Linked DNA regions of Arabidopsis thaliana. The protein of the gene in region 2 interacts with the protein of the main gene of each other region in a biochemical or structural test. Each region holds a gene or a part of one and is shown on either strand. Other genes may lie near its edges.

What was found.
Region 1: the proteins of TRB1 (region 2) and AtPOT1a form a complex in vitro, tested with the Arabidopsis thaliana proteins (2 studies listed by BioGRID).

The regions. Positions count from the first base shown.
Region 1 is NC_003071.7:1,889,123-1,895,027, reverse strand, and holds AtPOT1a (Nucleic acid-binding, OB-fold-like protein), read right to left. Parts: upstream 4,345-5,905; 5' UTR 3,784-4,344; intron 3,558-3,783; 5' UTR 3,478-3,557; intron 3,315-3,477; 5' UTR 3,215-3,314; coding exon 3,088-3,214; intron 2,954-3,087; coding exon 2,817-2,953; intron 2,745-2,816; coding exon 2,552-2,744; intron 2,447-2,551; coding exon 2,349-2,446; intron 2,196-2,348; coding exon 2,116-2,195; intron 1,975-2,115; coding exon 1,708-1,974; intron 1,604-1,707; coding exon 1,527-1,603; intron 1,420-1,526; coding exon 1,361-1,419; intron 1,280-1,360; coding exon 1,121-1,279; intron 1,039-1,120; coding exon 832-1,038; 3' UTR 514-831; downstream 1-513. Other genes in the region: AT2G05220 (Ribosomal S17 family protein), read left to right, coding at 1-271. UniProt on the Arabidopsis thaliana protein: Component of the telomerase ribonucleoprotein (RNP) complex that is essential for the positive regulation of telomere length. Binds RNA non-specifically. Binds specifically single-stranded telomeric DNA.
Region 2 is NC_003070.9:18,493,531-18,499,024, reverse strand, and holds TRB1 (telomere repeat binding factor 1), read left to right. Parts: upstream 1-1,706; 5' UTR 1,707-1,896; exon of another isoform or gene 1,897-2,103; intron 2,104-2,274; 5' UTR 2,275-2,311; coding exon 2,312-2,461; intron 2,462-2,565; coding exon 2,566-2,774; intron 2,775-3,156; coding exon 3,157-3,241; intron 3,242-3,843; coding exon 3,844-3,927; intron 3,928-4,103; coding exon 4,104-4,463; intron 4,464-4,571; coding exon 4,572-4,586; 3' UTR 4,587-4,954; downstream 4,955-5,494. Other genes in the region: AT1G49960 (Xanthine/uracil permease family protein), read right to left, coding at 235-325. UniProt on the Arabidopsis thaliana protein: Binds preferentially double-stranded telomeric repeats.

The DNA of each region.
Region 1 (5,905 bases), on a different chromosome or scaffold from region 2:
TGGATTCTCCACCCACTTGATGAAACGTATCCAGAAGGGACCAGTCCGTGGAATCTCACTCAAGCTTCAAGAAGAAGAGCGTGAACGCCGTATGGACTTTGTTCCCGATGAGTCTGCTATCAAGACTGATGAGATCAAGGTCGACAAAGAGACTCTTGAGATGCTTGCTTCTCTAGGAATGTCTGACACATCCGGCATCTCTGCAGTCGAGCCACAACAAGCTATGGCACCAATCGCTGCTTTCGGCGGCAGGGCACCCAGAAGATACTAAGATGGCCTCAGCTAATCATCAGCTACGATTGGCTCTCTTTTTTCTCAGTTAGGGACAAGAAAGACTTGTGTGGTTGTTTATTGTTTCTTCTGATTATGTCTTAAACTCAATGTGAGACTCTTTCGTATTAATGGTTTTTAAGTTATGTGGAACCAAAATTGGAGTTCAAACATTTGATAGTACCAATACTTTTTGCTTATCAGATCCGAGTTGATTCATGGGAGAGTTGTTGTATCAGCGAAGATTGTGGAGTTTTATGAAGGACTGTTAGTGAAACATTCCACAGGTCGAAACCATTTTAAAACTTTGAACAAGGTAGAGTTGTTCCACAATGAAAATGTGTATATTGCCTGCTGCTTCTATTAACTCTTTAGGTCTAGAGGAAGATATTTTTGTGTTCAGTCTTTGGATTTGGTTAATATCATGAAGATGTTCTTTTGGTTACAAGGTCTTCATGAACTAAAACAACACAACTACCATACTTAAGTAAGCCAAATCCAACATTCTTAACATGAGCCTAATACTAAACTATTTAATCCTCTTTTAACACTTACAAATACTTAATGAAGTAGTCTAGTACCAAAGATTCTGTATAATCTAGTATTCCACGGGTCAGCTTTGTTAGTATAGTAGGAGAGGATGCAGCACTCGATCCATGGTGGATTTCTTGGAGCCACAAAGTTCGAGCTTTCCCGTATACCGAGCAACCAATTCCGCTTCTTCCTCAGCGTCTCTGTGTCCTGAAACCCTAAACCCCAAAAGTACTCCTGCCAATAAAATCTAGATTAGGCTATCAGAGACGATCTTTGTTGACAGTTTAGATGCAAATAGACCAAATGGTGTATTTACTGCGTCTTTATTGCATAAGAAAGCCTCTAAAGTCGCTGTTGAATCCTCCAGTGTCAACAAAACTTGGTGGTGACGGCGATTCTCATCTGAACAGAAATCCTCTACTTGCCAAGGATATGCAGCTACAACCCGAACAATACATCTGTACTTGCATGTAACCTGTAATAACAACGTAGGCGATCACATAAAAGTATTCTTAATCTTTTCAGGGAATACAGCAAATAGATTCATGAATGGTACCTTGGGGAATGTTATGATGTCCATCAGTGTAACAAATGGGGCACAATTGTCATCTGTCTCTGCAAGACACCAAGAATGTTAAGGAAGTCTGTCTAAAGATTGACACAGAGAAAAACATTCGTTGAGATTAGATCCTGCTCATTAAGTAAAAGAGAAGTATTGCAACCTGTTAATCCAGGAGGTGACGGAAAACACCAGAATGAAATGTGTCCCAACTTTGATGATAGTCTCTTATCATATATCCTAGTTTTTGGCACATTAGATTATAAAACAAAATGGTAAGAGATTCTCATGGTATGCAAAAAGGTCGGAAGTAGTTACTGAAAGAAATATCAAGAAGTACAAACCTCATGATCTTTTCAACTAAACGATCATCTTGAGCGAGATGATGAACCTTTGTAGAGCTGGTAACTTTGATTACCCAAGATCCTCTATCAACTTCACAGAGTAAATGGTAAAGTTTCACCCAATCACCAGGTTTAACCCGATAAAATAGATGACTGCTTAGATGAACTCTCAAGATCGTTCCAACGGTTGGAAAGCTGAGCAGTACATCTCTTGACAGTAAAGTATGAACAGAGAGACTGCTAAATGCCTTGTCTTCTTCACTTCTCCTGTCGATAGCCAAACATTGTACACCAAATAGAAGAAGAGTAAGCGTAGGATATGGAAAGCGTAGAGTCAAGCCTAAATGAATGACTCAAAACAGATAATGTGAGGATTTAAAACTTTTTTCCTTCGCAGTTAATACTCACTTAGCCAGAATAGATGCTGGGGGTGCATCAGTCCCGTCCCAAACAAAAACAGCGCTAGTATCTTCATCGGCATGGAGAATCTCCATCACAAGAAACAGCAGGAAACAAGGTAGGATCAGTCAACAAAACATAAAAGGAGCCAAAAAAAGATTTGAAGTAACAATGAAGTGGTATAGAGGAATGAAGAGTTAAAAAGCTTTCTCACAGTTAATAGAGAGTATAGAGCATATTACCCTGCACACCAAATCAAAGCGTTTTCCTATCTTGATCTCTCTCAAGAAGGAAAAAACTTCGGAGCAAGGTTTTGTTCTGTAAGATATACTCTGCATAGCTAAGTACCAAAACAGTAAATGAAAGCTTATGAGAATCGTTCCAAGCTATCCAAAGCCATTATACTATATGCATAGTTGAAAGCAAAAGAAGCTCACAGTGTTACCTTTAATAACTTGGCTACAACCCGCAAAAACTTTGCGTAAATCATCCATGGCACTCTTGTATAATGCTTCTTCTTCATGAAAATTGGTACTACATTGGTAACAAACAAAATCCACACCTTCGAACAAGGCAAAGGAAGAAACCCATCTACTACAAGCAGCATTTACTCTTTCTCCACTATCAAAAGTTTGCATCTACACAATAAAAATCCAAACTTTATAACCTCCTGCACAAAACACAGAAGGAAAATGAAGAGGTCTTTGTACCTTAATGCGAGTAAACAGAATCATGTCGTCGTGGTTCTTGATTTGAGGAAGTTGTTCAAGAGTCTTACTAAATACATTAACAGTAAGTCCAGGACTTGGATACGTATCATCAATTATCCGTAGCGTACAAATCCAATCTAAGAAAAAAATCCAACTTTCAGATTTTGTTGGGTCAAATGTTAGGGCTTTCACAAAACAAACCAACTAAGATTCAGATTCAAGCAAAATTCTATGTATTTAACTCAAATTTTGGTTTTTTTTGGATAAGTACCATTGTTGCGACATTGTTTTGGTTCTCTTTGTTCAAGGACGATACCAATGAGACTGACTTGTTGGTTGATGAGTTTAATGGCGTCTTTGATTTTGATGAGCTTGGGACTCTCTCTCTTCTTCGCCATCTCCCGCTTTGCTACAACGTTTTTAAGTATTATCCTGACGTCACAAAATTAGAGAGTGGTAATATGTGGAATGAGTATCAACAGAACACTAAGCACCAACCTGCAGCCCATAGCCAATAAGTGGAGTGAGTATACATTGGAGGCAATAAGTGGAATGAGTATACATTGGAGCCAATAAGTGGAATGAGTATACATTGGAGGCAATAGAATAGCCATCAACGGAATGACAATGCAAGGATATCAAAAGAACACTAAGCACTAACCTGCAGCCCACTGGAAGTATTCAATGCAGAATCAGACTGAAGGCAAAAAAACTTTATCTTTCTCTCACTTGAATCATCCCCTGGATATAGCAAATTTCATCACAATGGTGAGAAGTAACCAAAGCTAACAAATGTTCCAGAATATGATCCTTCCCTTACATCAACCATCTCTCACAAGAAAATTCTTCAATCCACAATTTTTACTACTTTTATCTACCAAATCCTCAAATCCATTACAATGAACATAATCCCATGAATACAAATGATATATTTTGTTGTGATTAGATTTTAAAGGAATAAACTAACCTCAAGGTCGTATCTGTGCACATTGTTTCCGGCGACGACGATTGCCACCGGAATGAGACCTTATCAATGATCAATTCCGTTAGGTATCGAAATTAGAACCCCTTCATCAACGAACAACACTAGATCTCTCCAGTGAAACGGCCGACGCTTCTCGATCCTCTAACGACGCTCTCAATTCCACATTCTTCTCGCCGTTCTCCGTGAAGTTGCTTCTGTGAAGATTCACTAAAGTCCCAATCAATGTAATCGGAGAAATCTCCGACCAAATCGCTATCGCCAAAGAGACTGTTTTTTTTTTCTTGTTTCTTTTTTTTGCCAAAAAGTTATGTTATATATATCAACCCAGTGCATCATCCAATAATGGTGAACCTTGGAGAGGCCAGTACAAACAGGATACAGAGATAGAATTTTTACATATCAAAGACGTCTAAGTAAAGATAACAACATTTACGTTACAGTTAAGGTACAATATTGAACTACCACGAGCATCTCCAAGAGATACTCTATCCCTCAAATATAAAGTTTTAGGTTCTCTAAAAGATAATCCAATATAATTTAGAGCATATCCAAAAGATATTTTATATATAGAGTATGTAAACTTCAAATATAAAGTATGAGTAGTTTCTTCTCCAAGAGTATACTTTAAATATGAAGTTTCTAAAATATGTGTTTTGCATTATAGTCTTTATATTGTTCATAATTATTTTAAAACTATATAACTTTAATAATAACACTAAAACATACATTAAAATATTACACATAATCTTAATTAACAAAACAATACATTTATAAATAAAATACATATAAATAAAAATTAAAAATACATAAATTAACTTATAAATTACAAATTACTCAATAAAATTATTTTCGTAATGCTCTCATATGTGATCAATCAATGCATTACGAAGAGATAGATAAGTCTCTTTATTTTTAATCTGTAGATTACGAGTCAAAGTGTTGAAATATTTTGAATATATAAAAATTAAAGGACTAAAATGATAAGGGAATGTGACACGTTTAGACACTTTTAAAGAATTTTATTCCTTTTGAGGCACTTTTCAGGGATTAGGCACTTTGCCATCTTTTTGAGGAGAAATTGGACTAATTTACCCCTGAAGTAATGATGACACAATAATTATTAAACTTATTTTTGATGAGATCGTGTGGGTAAGAAACTATCCCCCTTTTATCATCTCTCTCTTCCATATTCTTTTGTTTTTCATCATTTTCAATCTCTCTTTCAAAATCATTGTCGTTCTCTATAATTTTTACAAAATCATGAAAATTATGAGGTTATCCTAAATTCACAATCAAAATCTATGTTTACCCTAATTTTTTTTTTTTTTTTTTACTTTTGTATATTTTTCTCCATTCGCTGGAAAACTTATGGCCACCACCATCGTTTCTTATCGAAGGATTATTAACATTAGAAATCCAATTCGCCGAAGATTAAGACAGAAAATATTGGTCTCAACTCAGATCACTAAGGATGTTTGAATTGGGGAAGAAGAAAAACTGAATCATTGTTTGGGAGAGGTAAGAGCATCTTTAACCAAATTTTATCCTCTCTCGTATTGGATTTTTACTTGGCTTTATCTGTTTCTTAAGATTGAATGTTAAATTGATAAATAGTAAGATAGGATTCAATCCCAAGTTAGGATCGATTTGACAAATTACTTGAAGAATTTTAAATTAAGTAGTTGACTCAATCCCAAGTTAGGATCCAGTGATATGAATGTTGTGAATTGACATTGAAATTTGATTTGTTAAAATGCATCTAGTTTTCCAGTTAAAATTCTAATACCCTTCTCTGGGAACACCTTGAATTCCTTGTTTAATTTTTGCTCTATTTCCAGCCTATAGATACGTAGTTGGTCTTCAAAAACTTTGGCTAACAATAACTTTGTGTTAATCTCTTTCTATCTCAAAAATGCTAGGGAAGATGTGATATTTGGTTTTATTGGAGCTATCGTTTCCCAACAGATACATCTTCCGGATCTAGAAATGATGTGTTTAGATCACACACCTATCCACACCTCTATATCCATATGACTTTTTACATTAGCTGCAATCACCAATTTGTTTTGACAATTTGTTCACATGTATATGGATACTCTTATCA
Region 2 (5,494 bases):
ATAACTCATATGAATAATGGAAACGCTTCAACTGAAATTTTTGTTAAATAATCACAAACGCTTTAAAAACGAGTTTTGTAGATTAATAAGAAATACAACCCTAATTTAAACTAAATCGTATAGTTCATCACTATCGGTGAAACATAAATTCATTATCCTAAAGACTAAACATAATTTTACTGCTAATAGAACACAACTATATAACAAAATCTAAATGAAAAGAAAAAAGCATACGCCAATTTGGAGAGCTCGAGACACAAAATTCGACTCCGGGAAGCTGATCTTTAACTGGAAATGGTGCAAAATCATCGGTCTTTGTTGCCATATCTCACTCGCTTCGAGAAGGGCTACTCTCTTTGTGATGAGAGCTGTAAATTCAAACTAAGGCTTTGCTTAAAACGGATTCAAAAGTGCTAAGTAATCGTTAGGCGGGCAACTTTGTTGACTCTTTCTTGCTTTTTTTACTTTCTGTCTTGTGTTCTCGTGCACGTAATTAACACTAATGCTATACGTAGAAAAATGAACCGGATTAAACCACTGGTGTGACTTAACCAGAATTGTCCACTTGTATATTCATGTGAAGAATATGATGTTTAATATTACAAAGTCTTTATAAGTAGCAAATTATTCTCATCTTAATGCCAAAAAAGTATACAACTAACTCCATCCACCACTTAAACATTCTCTTTAACCAATATCAAGAATTATAACTAATGACTAATTGGTATGACTTATTGTTGGCTTAATGAAAATAAGATAAAACAATAGGATTATCAGTTAAAAAATCCAGAAAGATTTAAGGAGGTTTATTTTGAAATAAATTTGATGAATTATTGTTGCTGACTTGAATTATTATCAAGTACATATTTCATATCATAAATAATTTTGGGCTCATGAGCTAAAAATGTTAATTTGGTAATTTAATAATTTATTTTGGATGGAACTAATTGCTAATGTTTTATTTTGACTGTAATTTGAAATTATTTGGACAATTATTAATTTAAACCCAAATATGAAATTAGTTTGTATTATAAAATCATAAATATCTAGGTGAAATTAGAGAAGGTTCTTTCTTTTTACTGAACATCTGCAGAAAATAAACCTAGTAAAACAAATCAACTAAAACTATGTTCAACGAACTTTTCTTTTTTTTACGAAATGATCTTTATATTTCAAATTTTGGAGAAATTCAAAAATAAATAAATTATAAAACTTTTTAATGTGTTTAAAACAAGTGTATAGATTTGGAAAACTCTCAAAATATCGCAACTACCATGTCCACAATTTTTTTTTAATTAGTGGTACAGTCAACTAGATAATTTTCAGAAAAAATAAACAATAGAGAAAATTCTATGGATAAAATGAAAATAGCATTTTTGAAAAAAAATATCACAACTACCACCCCACCACACATTTCTGAATTATATCTAGCAACATATTTGTATTTTATGTTCAAAATACCACTTAATCATCAAATTTTTAATCACCACCAAAACTTTCAAACATAAACCAAATTGTTCGTGTAAATATGATCTGGGTCACTGCGTATTAGTTTTGATAATATATTTTCTTGACAATCATATTAACACTTCATTTGGGGAATTTGATATTTTCTTTATCATTATTAAAAGTTGAATTTGTAAATATTTAGACAATTTATAATCTTCAGAATATAATAACTAGCGTAAACAAAAACGCGTTTTAAGGCCGTTTGTAAAAAACGCGTTTTAAGGCCGTTTGTGAAAAAACGCGTTTAAAGCTTAATTGGTCTAAGCGGTTTGCCGCATCAGAATTGACGGAGGTCCGTTACTCTGAATCCTTGTATTCGCATTAACCCTAACTTTTTCTGCTTCCCAAGCGTCTCGAAATCTGAATCCAGAGATTAAACAAAAATTGGTATTGCGAATGATCGATTCTTCTTCCTCTAAACTCTGATTCCTGGTGAATTCATCTGTTTCTTCTTTCTCGATTGTGTATATTCTCAGCATGAGATTAGGCTTCATTCTGAAAGAACGGATTTTTCTAGGGTTTGAGTTTCGGCATCTTTCAGTGATGTGAAGTTGGTGTTTGCTATTGCGTCTTAGTTTCTGAACTATTGCTGCGGTATAGTTTGATAATCTATGTTAGGGTTTCCTCGGAACAGGGAATTAGGGTTTTACTATTCTGTGGTATTTGATGATGAATTGTGAGCTACAACTGAAGAAAAAGTTTACATTTTTATGTAGAAACTTTAGTTCTGATTGGTTTCGTGACATTTGATATGTATTGTTGCAGAACGGACTTGCTTTGACACAGCAGACCGTAAATCGGGATGGGTGCTCCTAAGCAGAAATGGACTCAAGAAGAAGAGTCAGCTTTAAAGTCTGGAGTTATAAAGCATGGACCTGGTAAATGGCGCACAATTCTCAAAGATCCTGAATTTAGCGGAGTCTTGTACCTGCGTTCCAATGTTGATCTTAAGGTCATGATTACTTCTTATCCTTTTTGTCAGCTTTGATAATGCTACTGTATTTTGTTTGTGATTTTATCTGACTGGGAGATGGTTTGTTTATTGTATTGGGACAGGACAAATGGAGAAACATGAGTGTCATGGCAAATGGCTGGGGATCGCGCGAAAAGTCTAGGTTAGCTGTTAAAAGGACGTTCTCCCTTCCTAAACAGGAAGAGAACTCACTAGCCCTAACCAATTCTTTGCAAAGTGATGAAGAAAATGTGGATGCGACCTCTGGACTCCAAGTTTCTTCTAATCCTCCTCCAAGGAGACCTAATGTAAGGTTAGAAATGTGTCTATTTTGTTTCTTGTATTGAAGAGGAGTTGCTTTGTTGTATCTCTCTCGCTGGTATTTCTGAAGTTGGATTACATCTCAAAATGTATGGTTTGCCGTCACTTTTTATTCTGTGCAAGTCGATAAGTGTTGGATTACATTCATGTGATATGGGTTTGTTTTCACACCTCTGTTTAAGTTGTCTTCACTGGCTTAGTACATTTCTCCTCCTTCTTACTATTATCATGCGAGCCGTTTGCTCAATCCTATCACTGTGGCTTTATAATTGTGAAATTATGATGAGGATTTGTAAAGTCCCACTTACACGTAGATGTTTGTATCACTCAAATCTTTTATTATAGACAAATTGTAACTTTTAAAAACGTTGCAGGTTGGATAGCCTTATAATGGAAGCAATAGCTACCCTGAAAGAACCTGGTGGCTGTAACAAAACAACAATTGGTGCCTACATTGAGGTATTCTGTTTTCGTTCTTGCATCTTTTTTTTCTTTTCTCATAGACAATATGTATTATTAAATTGTTACTCTCAGCTAAATCGCATCGTGTTACATTTCAATTTGAATGATCCTCAGTGGGTTGATATGTTGTCAACTAGAACCTGTGAAGCATTGCGGATGAAAACCAAAATATAGCCTTTGGTTGTGTCAATAGAATATATTCCTCAATATCAATATAGGCAACGGATGTGGCAGTTTTATTGCAAGGCAATGGGTGACATCTTTATCTTCTCCTCTCCTGAATAGACGAATGTGCATTGAATATCCTGACTGAAACTAAGCTGAAAGGGCTAGAAATATTTCTGTAATTACGAGATTTATTGTGGTGGCATCTACTTAAGTCGATATAATTATGAGAATATCGTAAGAGTAGATTCTGTAGTTAATTCAGAAACACGCCAATGACATAAATATTTTCGTCTACTTATGTGATTCAAGCATGGGAAATATTGAGTTCAACTTGTACGATTACTGCTTTGAAGATTCTTTGTCTAAGTTCCTTGTAAAAGACTGATTTAGAGGACTGACTGTACCCGTGTTCCTTTTTTTTTTTTGTGTAGGATCAATATCATGCTCCACCAGACTTCAAACGCTTGTTGTCTACCAAGCTAAAGTACTTGACATCTTGCGGGAAACTTGTGAAGGTAAGAATTCCTACATTCATTTAATGCTTTTGAGTGCATATATTTTTGGTCTTTTGAATAGTATGTATGACTTTTTGTGCAAATCAATTTAGTTCATGGATGTCAGTAGAACAGAGACATATCCATTATTCACTGCAACTTGCGAGGTTTATTGATCTGGGCTTTCTCTTTTACAGGTTAAACGTAAGTACAGAATTCCAAACTCCACTCCCTTGTCTTCCCACAGGAGAAAAGGTCTGGGGGTGTTTGGAGGAAAACAGAGGACTTCTTCTTTGCCTTCACCTAAAACAGACATAGATGAAGTGAATTTTCAGACAAGGTCACAGATTGATACAGAGATAGCCAGAATGAAGAGTATGAACGTACATGAGGCGGCAGCAGTTGCAGCACAGGCAGTAGCAGAGGCAGAAGCTGCCATGGCAGAGGCTGAGGAAGCTGCAAAGGAAGCGGAGGCAGCAGAAGCCGAAGCAGAAGCAGCTCAAGCTTTCGCTGAGGAAGCTTCAAAGACATTGAAAGGAAGAAACATCTGCAAAATGGTAAAAAAAAGAAAAAAACACCCATATTCTTTTATATCACAAGACATTATATCTATGAGAGAACTTTGAAAATCTCAAAATGCTTTTGTTGAAAATGTGATTCGACAGATGATCCGTGCCTGAGGTAATGGAAAGCGAGAGAAGAAGGAGACTAAATGTGAAGAGAGAGTAGAGAGAAGCCTAGTGTTTGTGTTGATCATTCTCTTTACTTGGGAAGTTGTTTTTTAGTAGTAAGCAATCAAATATGTTTGTCAGTATGTCGTCGCTCTGACTCTTTTGATTCCTGCACAACTTTTGGGAAAAAATGTTTTATTTGGCTCTTCTCACTCTCCAATATACATACAACTATCGTTAGTAATGTGTATAATTTATAGACCGATCTATCTATGCACTATCATGCTTATCGCCAATGAGCATTTTGATTATGTATGTATTATCAATTAATAGTAGTACTGTTTTTTTAAGATATAAAAGCACAATGACTTTGGGACACTATATGGATCGTTTTCGGGTTCAGAAAAGGAATTAAATCCTTTTAAATCCCCTGTAAATCTTTTAAAAACTCTTGTAAATCTATTTTCTATTAAAATTATTTTTTCTGGGGAAAATGATCTTTTGGAAGAAAAAAAAGTTTGGCGGGAAAATTTTTGTCGGATTTTTTTGGTCGAAAAATTATCTTCGGAATAATTTTGATAGGAAAAATCATTATTATATTTTTTAAACCTAAAATATTTTCAAATAAGAGTAAAATGACCATAAAAAATCAAAAGATGGGATAAATGAAAATAAATTACAAAAAATGATAGAATTGAAAAGGAGTAGTTTGAAAGGGCATTCCTAACAATTTCTCCCGATTATATATGTAGTTGGGATTATTAGGTGATTGACAGATATATATATAATCATCCGAAATTTGACATACTAAAATAATTTGTAATCATTGATATTAAAAATAAAAAGACCATGGTATTTTTACTATAATTGTGATTCTGTAAAGAAAATAATACTATGCCACTCACAGTCACTGCATA